3 linked regions of the Schizosaccharomyces pombe genome follow. The protein of the gene in region 1 purifies or fractionates together with the protein of each later gene. This does not show direct contact. Each region holds a gene or a part of one and is shown in the gene's direction. Other genes may lie near its edges.

What was found.
Region 2: the proteins of snf30 (region 1) and sol1 purify together in Schizosaccharomyces pombe (affinity purification with mass spectrometry, with the first as the bait; one study listed by BioGRID). This does not show direct contact.
Region 3: the proteins of snf30 (region 1) and ssr1 purify together in Schizosaccharomyces pombe (affinity purification with mass spectrometry, with the first as the bait; one study listed by BioGRID). This does not show direct contact.

The regions. Positions count from the first base shown.
Region 1 is NC_003424.3:878,646-882,485, reverse strand, and holds snf30 (SWI/SNF complex subunit Snf30), read left to right. Parts: upstream 1-2,017; 5' UTR 2,018-2,296; coding exon 2,297-2,499; exon of another isoform or gene 2,500-2,650; coding exon 2,651-3,272; 3' UTR 3,273-3,339; downstream 3,340-3,840. Other genes in the region: ubiquitin hydrolase Ubp7, read left to right, coding at 1-1,463. UniProt on the Schizosaccharomyces pombe protein: Component of the SWI/SNF complex, an ATP-dependent chromatin remodeling complex, required for the positive and negative regulation of gene expression of a large number of genes.
Region 2 is NC_003423.3:1,308,522-1,313,559, reverse strand, and holds sol1 (SWI/SNF complex subunit Sol1), read left to right. Parts: upstream 1-1,757; 5' UTR 1,758-1,835; coding exon 1,836-4,433; 3' UTR 4,434-4,488; downstream 4,489-5,038. Other genes in the region: karyopherin/importin beta family nuclear export signal receptor Kap109, read right to left, coding at 1-222, 272-329.
Region 3 is NC_003424.3:3,604,114-3,608,044, forward strand, and holds ssr1 (SWI/SNF and RSC complex subunit Ssr1), read left to right. Parts: upstream 1-1,668; 5' UTR 1,669-1,684; coding exon 1,685-3,268; 3' UTR 3,269-3,341; downstream 3,342-3,931. Other genes in the region: translocation subcomplex subunit Sec62, read left to right, coding at 1-800; ghs2 (glucosidase), read right to left, coding at 3,716-3,931.

The DNA.
Region 1 (3,840 bases):
CTGAGACCGAAGATATTACTTATTCGAAGGAGTTGTCGCAATCATCTGACTCTTCACAGCATCAGCATGACAGTTTCTTGCCTGCTAATTCATCGCCATTAGCGGCCTCGTCTACAAAATCCCTTCCATCGTCAGAACTTCTCGATTCCAGTTCAGACAAGGGACAACAAGTTTTTAAGGGTCAACATGAGGTCGCTGGTACCAATTCTTTTGAAGATCCTAATTCTCATTTCAATGTATCTAATAGTTCTAATCATGAGGAGGCTAGTCCTAAAAAAGAAGTTTTAAAATCTCCTCAATTTCAAAGGCGTTCACTAGACATACTACGGCTTGGTGAACTTTCTTCAGATGATATGATGCTTGATAAAGCTACTATGGATGAATTTTCTTCAAGCCTGGTGATCAAGTCAATTTTTACAGGCCGTTTAACGAGCGTTGTGATGTGCCAAAGTTGTAATGAAATTACTAACACTCCTGAACCTATTCAAGATTTATCCATACCTATTCATTACCCGTCTAGCCGCGTAAGTCGTCGTCATCGATTCCATCGTGCTCTCCGTTCACGATTTAGTCGTTCACCAAAAAAATCGTCTGTAAAGATAGTTGTTGACAATGCTAACGACGACACTGATCAAGCCCCGACTACTAATTCCTCTTCGTTAAATGAAAATTTACTTGGTGGGCATGCTAGTGAAAATGACAAGAGTTTGAAACAGTCTCCATTTCAAAAACTGACTCGAAGATTAAGTGATCTCTCTGTCAATTCTAGCGGGCAAATTTCGAAACAAGATTTTGATAATAGTAATTCAATTTTCTCAGAATCTTCACTATCAAGCCCAATAATAGAGGAGCCTAAGACACTTATTGATTGTCTCAAAAACTTTACTCATGTTGAGGAGTTAAGTGGTGAAAACATGTTTGCCTGCGAGAATTGCTGTAATCAACCTAACGAAGTTGGCTCTCCAGCTAAGGGAGGATTGACGTCGGATAACGATAAATATTCGTTTAATAACAGTGTTTATAGAAATGCTTACAAGCGGATGTTATTAGATGACCCTTTACCTCCTGTTTTTATTATCCATTTGAAGCGTTTTTTCCAGGAGATTTCCCACGATGGTTACGCCAATCCCAAAAAAATTTCCGATTTCATTGAGTTTGAACAAGAATTAGATTTAAACGAGTTCGTTATGCCACACCTACGTGCTTCAAGTAGTTTTAGATATCGACTTTTCGGGGTCATTGTGCACAGTGGCACCCTGAATTATGGTCATTATGTTGCTTACGTATTGTCTCATAAATTCTTAGACCTCAGTGCCCCTTCTACGAATTCTAAGGATTTCCGTTCTGAAGCTGGCATACCCGAGAGACGATGGCTTTACATTAGTGACAATATTGTACGCGAATCATCCTGGGACGAGGTTTCAAAAGTCGAAGCGTATATGCTATTCTATGAACGTGTTTAGACTTCTATTGCTTTAAATCCTCATTTTAGCTTAACAATATTTTTCAATACCCCTGGTTTTTATCTTTAAAATGCAAAGTATTCATTTTGAAATTTACGATTGGCCCAAAATGACTTATTCAACTCAATCTATCTTCACCTTAATCGAATTTCAAAATTACTTTGTCATTTCACCTCATAACTAGATACTGAATTTTGGACGAAACCATAATTATTCAAACACATTCTTTTGATGTACCTCAATTAAAAAAATACCATTTTACTTAATTAAGCAAATGGGATAATTTATTTTACGTTATCAATAGTCTATATAATTGCAAATTTATAGAAAAATCTAAATTTACTTATTTTTTATACGCTAATAGTGTTGTTATTGAATTGTATAAATATTATCTCTGTTAATGAAGCGTGCAAATCAGCTTTAGTCTCTAAATAATTATTATTTATTTATTCTATTGCATATATTTGAAAAGTTATCAACAATCTTATTCAGTCGAATTTGAATGTTCCGTAAAATAAGAAATTTATTTGCCCGAGGTTAGAGGTGCTTAAACTATACACCTGACTTGTCATTATTGGAATATAGTCGCTATTGAATTGTTATAGTGTTGTTACATTCACGTTTATTACCATATAGCATTTAAAGGTTGTTTTATACTTTTTAACGACAGTATTCATCAGAGACTCTAAAATTCGCATTTGTAAAAAAATATATATATATATTACCATTACTCCTAGTTAATGGGTTTTAAACACAAGAAGTTACAACAAATTTTTTAAAAAAACTGGTTATTTAAGTTATATCTCCTTTTTAAGTTAACTACGTTTGTAATAATGAGCTTTGTTTCGAAAAGTCCACCGATAGTAAACTCCGCGAGCCCAACCGGACAGGTTAATCCAATGGAAGTTGAAAAGGCGAACAAATTATTAGAAATTAATCGTTTGATTTTATGGAAATGCTTAGAACTTCAGCATATTAAGACGGCGCAAAATTCGACATTGGAGCAACGGGCTTTATCTACTGAACTTTTCAACAGGTAAGTGATTGAAATGTTTTGCTTACGTGCACACTTAGCTGCGGAAGGATATTCATTGTGTGTATCCATTTTCGGCTCCTCAAATTGCGCTTCGCACTGTCTCTCTTTTATTACATTATATTTTTTTCGTTGTTACTAATTCATTTACTAGTTATATACAACGTCTCAAAGCTAATCTAGCTTTTGTAGTATCAATTGCTTCACCCCGTCAAATGCAAGTTTTAACTCCGCCACTTTCGTGTCCTGAAAGTCTACCTCAACTCGAGCCGTTATACAAAGAACTCCGGCAATATTTTCAAATCGCTCAGACATCTACACTATCGTATCCTCCTTCAAATGGGGATTCGTCTTCGTATGCAAATGGCACAGACTTACATGGAAATACAGGGACTATGCAGCAAGAAGAGAAAGCCAATCCATCATTAACTCGTTCAGATTCTGTTTCCTCGGGCTCTTATATTACAATGCAGGGAGCCAATAGTCTGAAGGCCCAACAAGACTTATTGAACTCGTTTACTGGTGCTCCTTCAAACAATTCTCATAACATACCCGATCCTAATCTATCTCAAACATTTTCAGCAACTTCTATGGGACCTCCCAACAATAACTACTCAAAGTTCCGAACGGATAACTACTTAGCGAGGTCCTCAAATCGCTCGGGAACGCCCAACATTCAAAATGAGCAATCTCGTTTTTTTGATTCACAACAAGCTCAAGTTCAGGCTCGAGCATTGATGCAAAGATATCAACAGGGGATGGAATTTAACAAATAGTGGTGTTTTTGAAGTTTATGATATAGAAAAGCTATGTCCTGTAATTTTATGTTTTAATTGATCATTTATCTAAACGTAAGACTTGCAATGTAGCGGACGCCTTACATGTAATTTTTATGCAACTAGTAAATTTTGACCACTAAGATCTAAATTTGTTTAGGAAATTAGGAATGGGTAGCACAACATTACTAAAATTTCAATTGCGAAAACCAAATCAATAAATTTATCTAAAACGACGATATGTTTACAATTTTACTATAGCACAAGCAAATGAATGCCATACAAAAATTTTTGGCGGAAATTACAACAGATGTGTAAAGCAATTTTAAAGTGGTGTCGCTTAATTACCTTTTGAATCTAAAACGCTATTGAAACTTGAATTTTTTGATGCCATAATTTAACTAAATTGACCAAGTTTAGAGATTAAAAAGCCAATAATGATAACTCTGAAAGTTTCCAGTATAATATAAAACAAAAATGGATAACGAGAACCTAAATAATCTTTGAACTTGAGTCGTTATCCTCTAAACAAGCTCAACCTTTTTTAAAAAAAGAAAGCATTATTGTA
Region 2 (5,038 bases), on another chromosome or scaffold:
GCATCAAGTTGATTATTTCGCGTTTGATCAATTCTGCCACCTCATCGCTGATACGAATAGAAGCACCTTCCTCAGAATCCCAATGTTTTTTAATGTAATTTTTGAAATACAATGAAGCGGCCAGCTTAATATTGATGTCTACTGTATCCTCAGCGACAATATTGAGGAGTTTTAGTGCAAAAGAACTATCTTGTAATTCCCATACTTTCAGTGCTTCCTCAGCTATATCAGTTAGTAAATTTGCTTTATCCACTCTGTTGGGGTATCTTACCACTTTTGGAAGTCGTAGGGTTTAATGTTCTCGCAAGAAGAGTTGGAATGTCATCCATAGTTTTCCTACAGGGATTGTGGTTAAGGGCAGATTTTGAAGGACACCGACGTAACTAGAACAATTTCTCTAACATCGTTATAGAGAATTTTTAATTCCGGTTTTATTTATTAAATAATTTTCTCTTAAGTTTGATATAGTTAACATCTTTTAATTAGTTTGTTTGCTTCTTTTTCAGGCTTGTTAATGTAATACTTTTCTTCGCTTAATTTTTGTTTTTTTTTCTATTAAAACACCCTAATATACCAATATTTGTAAATAAATAGTTGGACTATACTTGATAAATTACTTAAAAAAGGAATTAAAACTAATAAAATCTATAATTCATTATCAATAATTCAAGGGTTCACATTTTAATTATCAGCTTGTAAATACCTAATTTCCGAATTACTTGGTTTTAGTTTGCAAGCTCATTAAACATTTTATGAACCGTCAGAATAGAAATCGCTTTATACGTGGACTTGAAAGTTGTGTTAGTTGACTTTTGTTTCAAATCTAATTCTTGTTTATGCCATCAAATTCTACATGTGCAATATAGCATCTCCATCTTTATCTCAAATACTACAAACCTTTTTTTATTGTAGTATTTAGTTTTTTTCCTTCTTGAATCGGATATTCCTTTTGCGAGTTGACTTGAAACCATAGATTTGCAAAAGTAAATAATTAAGTCATAAACATATATATTTTACACGTACAAGCCCTTGTCCATAGAGTTCAACAACCTAAATCCAATTGCTTGATAATAGAAATTACCATATTCTACTATCTTGTTTCATTCATCAATAGGTTTACACATATGAAAGCACGTTTATAGAAAACAATGAAATTTATAAAATGACATTGCGTCGAGTCTTATGTAGCCAGAAAGAAAGAAGGAAAAATAATGAATAAAAAATAAAAAAAAGGTTAGACCAGATAAATTTGAATTAATGTGTCAATTTTGATTGCTCCTTTCAAAAAAAAAAAAAAAAAAAAAAGAAAGAAAAGGAGGATAACGGGATCTCGAATATGTTAACTCATATGCTTTTACTATTTTAAAAAAAAAAAAAATAATTTATTAAAAAAATATCTGTTTCCGCAAGAAGAAGATGTTGTACTCGTGATTGTTTACAGTTTCGCCAAGTCTACTAACAGAGCAAGTTAATAAATATTGTTTCTATTACAAGAGGAATAAGATATTATTTTGTTTTTAAAATTTTAGATACCTGACTAATCGATAAATGCTTCCCAATGCTAACAATTGTCATTGACTTGGAAATAAGAGACACTGCAAAGGCAAGAAATCACGTTTGCGAGATTTAAAGGAATGAGTGTAAAGATTTTTTAGGAATTTAAGCATTTTCTGAAACACACAGATTAGGTTCTTAAAGGCAGCACTAAACAACTCGTTATATGCACTTCGTCTGCTTTTCAAGCACTTTCAGCTGCCAAGCGCCTTAGACGTTAATATATTGAAACGTGTATTTTAAGGTCCCTTTACTCTTTGTTTGATTTAGTATGAGGAATCATGAATAATCAAGGGTTTGTTCCTGCGAGTGATTATCCAACCGCAGTATCATATCCCACGCAAGGTCAAAGTTATAATACTCAGGAAGAACAACCTGCGTATCCTCAACGCTTTTCGACAAGCCAAGGGATGTATGCAGCAGAATATGGAAATGCAAACATGATGAATACTTCCGAGAATGAGCCTAACAATTTGGCTCATTCACAGCCCTTCCGACAATCTCCATCAACTCAACGTAATTTGCCAAATCAATCATTTGATTTCGCCTCTAACGGTGCATGGAATGGCTCTGGATCTGTGAAATACTCTAGTCCCATGATGCCTTCAAGTCGGATCCCGTTTCAACAAGAAAAAGAGGCTGCAATGCAGCAGCAACAACAACAGCAACAGCAGCAACAACTTTATCAACGACAAATGCAAAGCAGAGAGGCCTTACTCTCTCAACAAATTCCTCCTAATCAAATTGGCATCAATGCCCACCCAGCTGTAAGACAAACTCCTCAACCTGCACCTTCCCCAAATACTCCCTCTGGTAATGCTAATCAACTAACGCCTGCTTATGCTGCTAGTTTTGACAAATTCATGGTTAGCCTTATTTCTTTTATGGAAAAGCGGGGGACGCCAATCAAATCTTATCCTCAAATAAATAATACGCCTATTAATTTAATGATGCTGTACGCCTTGGTTATGCGTGCCGGTGGATCTCGACAAGTCTCAGCTCATAATTTTTGGCCAAAAATTTCTGCTTCCTTGGGGTTTCCATCTCCTGATGCTATTTCCCTTCTAATTCAATATTACAATTCCTATCTGCTTCCATATGAAGAAGCATGGCTTGCTGCTCAACAGCAACAAAAATCACTTCAACAAGCAAAAGCTAATCATTCTGCGAATGTTCAAAGCAGACCAAAAAACTATCCACAAAAGCCGGTCCAAACCACCCCAGAAGCTGTACATGCCAATGGTTCTATGCATGGATCACTTCACTCAAAGTCACCCTCCCCAGCATTCACCGCTAATCGTTTCTCTCCAGCTGCTCCTACCACAGTTAGTTCTGAAAGAAATGCTCCACCATACCCTTCTGCTCCGACTCGACCCACTCCGCCCACCGTTCAAACTTCTTCTTCGGCAGCTCCTGTTGATTCTGCCGAACCCGTTGCTTATCAACCGATAAAAAAGCCCATCGATCCTATGTTGGGTTATCCCTTGAATGTCGCGGCCACGTATAGGCTCGATGAATCTTTGCTTCGGCTTCAGATGCCTTCAATCGTAGATCTGGGGACTGTAAACATTCAAGCCTTGTGCATGAGCCTGCAATCTACTTTGGAAAAAGAAATAACGTATGCAATGAACGTTTTACTTATATTAACAAATGATCAAAAATGGATGTTTCCGTTAAGTGAGTGCCAGGATGTAGTTGATGCGTTGATTGACGTTGCAACTCAGTGCCTTGATAATCTGCTATCTGTTCTTCCTAATGAGGATTTAATGGAAATCGCCGATAAACGTCCTTCTTATAGACAACTTCTTTACAATTGTTGCGTAGAGATATCGCAGTTCTCCAGAGAAGACTTTTCAAATTCACTAAGCGAAAACAAAACAAAAGATAGCATCAATGCTATTGATGTTCATAATTCGGAGCAAAATTTGTTAGCTGTTTTCGTTATTTTTAGAAATCTCTCTCACTTTGAGGCCAACCAAAACGTTTTGGTACAAAATCCAGATTTTTTTCCTCTACTCATTCGTGTAGTCAAAAGTCTTAATTTTCATGCCACTTCCCTTCTACGTTCATCAAGAAATACCTTGGATTTGCATAAAGATGTATTAATCGTACTTTGTCAACTTTCTCAAAATTTCATTCTACCGAATGTCGACGTTGCTCGTCACGTTTTACTATTTATTTTGTCTTTTTCTCCATTTAACAGAAAGAAGAGTAAAACTATTTTAAATGACACCCTTCCAACCTCTATACCTAGTTACACACCTGCTACCCATCCCTATGCTGGTCCCGCCATTAATGCCTATGCCAAATTACTAGCCAAAGATGCTAACAACAAGACAAACTTTCAAGCTATTTTTGATAACAATCCAAAATTTTTAGACTCCCTTTTTCTACTTCTTGCTTCTGTTGTCCCAAAATTTAACCGCCACTGCCTTAAAATATGCGAGCGAAGGTTACCCTTATTGCAGCAGTCATTTTTTTGTTTAGCAGCTACCGTTTCCTATGTTAAACAATCGGAACAAGCGGCAAATTGGTGTAATATAGGCGAGGGATTTTTTGTTTCCATGTTACGCCTACTCATACTATTATCAGGTCATCCTTCCCTTAATCCACCATCACGTGTAGCATCGCAGTATCCTACTACGAATCCTTTTCGTTATGTGATTCAGAGTGGCATATCTACGGTGCGTCGACTTTTGAGCTTAGTGGAAGCTGGAAATATTTCATTATCTTCTTTCCCCAAAAGTGAAACTCTCCTCGCTGTTTTGCTGGCTCCTACAACAGAAACCTCGTTTCTAAAAGAGATCTCAAATTTATTGGATCGAACTGGGGACAGTGATGCGTCTTTAGAAAATACGGATGATAAATCTGGCATTTAATTTGTAGATAATTTTCCAAACGTTTAATATTTTTGTCTTCATTCTAGTTAATCTGATGCGTTTCTGTATGTATATTGTCTAAACATGCTTTCAAATTTTTAGAGATGATTTATTTACTTTATAGAAAGACTACTTAACCTATGTAGAGTTAATTGCCATTCTACGCATTGCAACAATTTTATTAAGAGTATTTTCAAGCAATTCTAAATAGACTGAATTCAATAAATCAACCAGACTACAATTTCCATCACAACAAGAAAAAGTTTAACTACTCTATATTGGAGAACATGATAATCAACCTTTATCACCACTACAACTACAAGCCAAACACAACACAAAAAAATTTAATTAAAAAAAAAAAAAGGAAAAATTTGCAAGATCAACATCAGACATCCAAAGGAAGGACTATGCACGACATCTGCGGCAAAATTGGGTTCGTATGCCGCTCCGGGGAAACTGCGAATGTTCAATGGAAATTTCATCACCTGTTGATCAATGCAAAAAAAAACCTTCGCCGAACAATCCAAAAAGCAATACAGCACTATATATGTTTATAACTAAAAGGATGTAAAGTCCAATCTCCACCATAACTCGTACGTACAGGA
Region 3 (3,931 bases), 2.7 Mb from region 1:
TTTTGAAGGATGAAGACAAGTGCAAGTTTTCGATGCGCTTTACAAACTTCCTCAAGTCTCGCCCTGAGCTGAAAACAAAGCCAGCGATCCTCAATGGAAAACGTGTATACTACTTTCGTGTGAAGCGTGTTCTTCGCTTTTTAACATCCGAAGCGTATACGCCTAAGAAATACAAAGGGTTTCCAGAAATTTCAAGCCGTGAGGAAGCAATCGAAGTTCTCAAATTGCTCATTATGAATTCGATGCTGGTTCGCGTTGATAAACTCCCCCCTAAACAAAGAAAGCAGAAGCTTGTAGAATTACAGATAAATCGTAATCAAGATTTTCAAGACGATATGCATTATGTTTGGCTCTACGAGCCTCTTCCAAAACGCGTTATGGCTTTGGCAGTACTGTTCGCTCTTGTCGTATTGGCACTCGTTTTGTTCCCCTTGTGGCCAATGTTTATGCGCAAGGGTGCTTGGTATTTAAGTATGGGAGGCCTTGGAGTAATCGGTCTATTCTTTGTTTTGGTTATTTTACGTTTTTTCTTATTTTGCATTACTGCTGTCATCGTGCGCCCTGGCATTTGGCTATTCCCCAATCTTCTTGCCGACGTTGGCTTCTGTGATAGCTTTAAACCTTTATGGAGTTGGCACAATTCCAAATCTGAGGTAAAGAAGACAAGGAAATCCAAGAAATTGTCAAAAAAAGCCACTTCACCAGCTGCTTCTGCAACTCCTGAAAAGTCTTCTACGTCCACCACTTCTTTAAAGAATTTAAGGCACAGAAATCCTACCGTCGAAGAAGTCTCTGAATAAAAATTAATTGTTGTACCGTTGATGAATCCAGTCACTCAGCCACTATTACTTACTTTAAAAAAAAATAGTGCATATCTTTACGTTATCAATTCTCCTTATACAATTTATTTCGTCTATGTTTTCGGAGAAAGGTTCTTTGAGATTCTAAATGTGTTTTCCAAGAAACCTTGGCGTTCTCATTTTATGCCCAAACGTATACATATATAATCAGTATATACTAAATGAGGACACTAAATTCTTTTGTGTTTCTTATTGTTACGCATTTTAATTACGGCAAGTTTGTCAGTCAATGAATATTTACTCTTATTGACACACAATTCTTGCTTAACCCATTTATATGAAGCGTTTTAATTTATGTACCACTCCTGGTAGGTGGTTTGATAATTCCCTTATTCTTTTAATCTCAATTTATAACACATTTGAGCGAAATTACTAGATTCTTAGCTTGCTTTTCTCCTTTTAAAGCTAGTATAGCATTTCCTCATGACACAAGGAGTGCATTCTTACTATAGTTGGCTGATCACATAGGAGTGATTATAATTACAAGTTCACTAATATTCATGGTATAAATTGTCATCATATCATATGATATTTAACTTCATATCAATAAATTTTACTTTCCATATTGAATATTTTCTCAATTCTTTAGTGTATAGTGCGTTTGCTGTATATTTCGTTAACCAGACATCGTCATTCTAAGTCAACTCCCACTACCTACTAATTGCAGGGCATTTTAAAAAAACTTGAATTTTCAAGGTATCCCTCAATCATATAGGGTAATACATATTATTTTTCGTTGATTAAGTGCATTTTATTGACGTGAAGCTTTTAAAGCCCTTGGCGTTGAGGATTTTGTAAATATTATACTAGACTCTAACACCACAATGTCCAACGTTACTGAAAATAAACATGACTTACACGAAAACGGGGTACCAGATTCTGCTCAGCCAATGGAATTGGATGTTTCTAAAAAGGAGGACACTGAACCAGAAGTCAGAGACGAGGCCAAAGAATTTTTGTTGAGCCAGTTACCACAAGTAGAAGTCCCTGAGTGGGCGCAATGGTTTGATTTCTCTAAAGTTCACGAAATTGAGAAAAAACAAAACCCTGAGTTCTTTGATGGAAAAAATACGTCGAAAACACCAGAGGTATATAAGGAATACCGAGATTTTATGATTAGTACTTTTCGATTGAACTCCAAAGTTTATTTGACTTTCACGGCTTGCCGAAGGAATTTGGCTGGTGATGTATGTGCTGTCTTGCGTGTCCATAGATTTCTAGAGCAATGGGGATTAATCAACTATAACGTTAACCCCGATACTCGGCCTTCGAAAATAGGTCCCCCTTCCACAAGTCATTTCCAAATCCTTGCTGATACTCCTCGTGGATTGGTACCACTTCTTCCACCTCCCTCTTCTTCAATTCCTCGTTCCAAAGCTGTTACCATTGAAGATCCTTCGATTGTCCGAACAAATATTTATGATCCCTCTCTCGACGATGTCTTAAAAGGTAAGGGTTCAACTCCGAATCAAAAACCAAGCCTTTCGAACCTTCATGAAAACAACATTGATCAGTCAGATTCTCCACAGCATTGTTACTGTTGCGGTAATAAATTTAATGAAAGTTACTACCAATCTCAAACGGCCCAAAAATATAACGTTTGTATAAGTTGCTACCAACAAAATCGGTTTCCTTCACCGACCACAATTGCTGATTATAAGGAGGTCGCAATACAAAATAAAATTGAAGATGATGATACATGGACTGCACAAGAACTTGTTCTTTTGTCAGAGGGAGTGGAAATGTATAGTGACGACTGGGCAAAGGTTGCTTCTCATGTGAACACAAAAAGTGTTGAAGAGTGTATTTTGAAATTCCTTAATCTTCCTTCTTCCGACAAAGCTTTATTTAAAATGGACAAAGTGCATACCAATCCTGTGGTTGATTCTTTGCAGGGGAAGAACCCTATTTTATCCGTAGTCTCTTTCTTAGCCAAAATGGTACCACCTTCTTCTTTCACACAGAAAAGCAGCGCAAAAGAGGAGGAGTCGGATAAAGTTAAAGGTGAATCGGTTTATCCCAAACCAGAGTCAGAAAGTTATGATGTCGAGATGAATGGTAAATCATTGGAGGACTCTGATAGTCTATCAGAGTTATATCTAACTAATGAAGAAAAGAAAATGGCTTCTATTATAAAGGATTCTGTTAACGTGCAAATTAAGCTAATTGAATCCAAGTTATCTCATTTTGATTATCTTGATCAGCACATTCGTCTTAAATCCCAAGAATTAGATGCCTTTGCACAGGCAACTTATAGGGAAAAATTGTATATGAAACGAGAGTGTCAAAATGCCCGCAAAAAAATAGAGCAACAACTACAATCGAAGGATACTGCCGCAAATGGTCTACCAGTTCAAAGCTCCGCTGAAACTTCTGTTATCCCAGCTTCTTCTATGAGTCCTTCTTAATAATCTCAACTAATATGCTTATCGGATAAAAATTTATTAGGCTTTTATTTAAATGAATTTTTTTTTTATCTTATCTTAATGTCTTTGACATATCTAGTTTACTCAACTTTTGCGGCCCAAGTTCGGGCTATTCAGCTTGATCTCTTAACATTCGGCTGATTGATAGATTGACTAGAGAGCTATAGCATTCTAAGGGCAACAATTTTAACGTACTAGTATATACCAGTTGTTATCAAATTTTGAAAGTAAGGTCAGCTCAAACGTTGTGTAAATCCTTTGTGTCGTATGTTAAATTATGCAACAAATGAAAGAACTGAGAGAAAAGAAAGAAGGGACTAACTAATGGTTTATGTGAAACTCTATGAAAGTAAATGAAAAGAAATAAAGAATGAAGACAAAATGCCGCTTAATATGGATTTCGCAATCCTTACATTAAAATGAAGTTTTTCAACATCCGTCCATGAGTGAGTTTTTGGGGCGAACATATCCTGCTTCTGACCAACTGGTTGCATTATAATTTAGGTAGGCTTTAGGATGGTTCGCAATATATTCAGTAGTAGGGAAACCTTCAGGATCACAACCAAGCACGCTACTGGAATCAGAAGAGTCTTGATAAATTCTGACATAATCCACATACATTGTTTGAGGAAACGTTAATTCGTA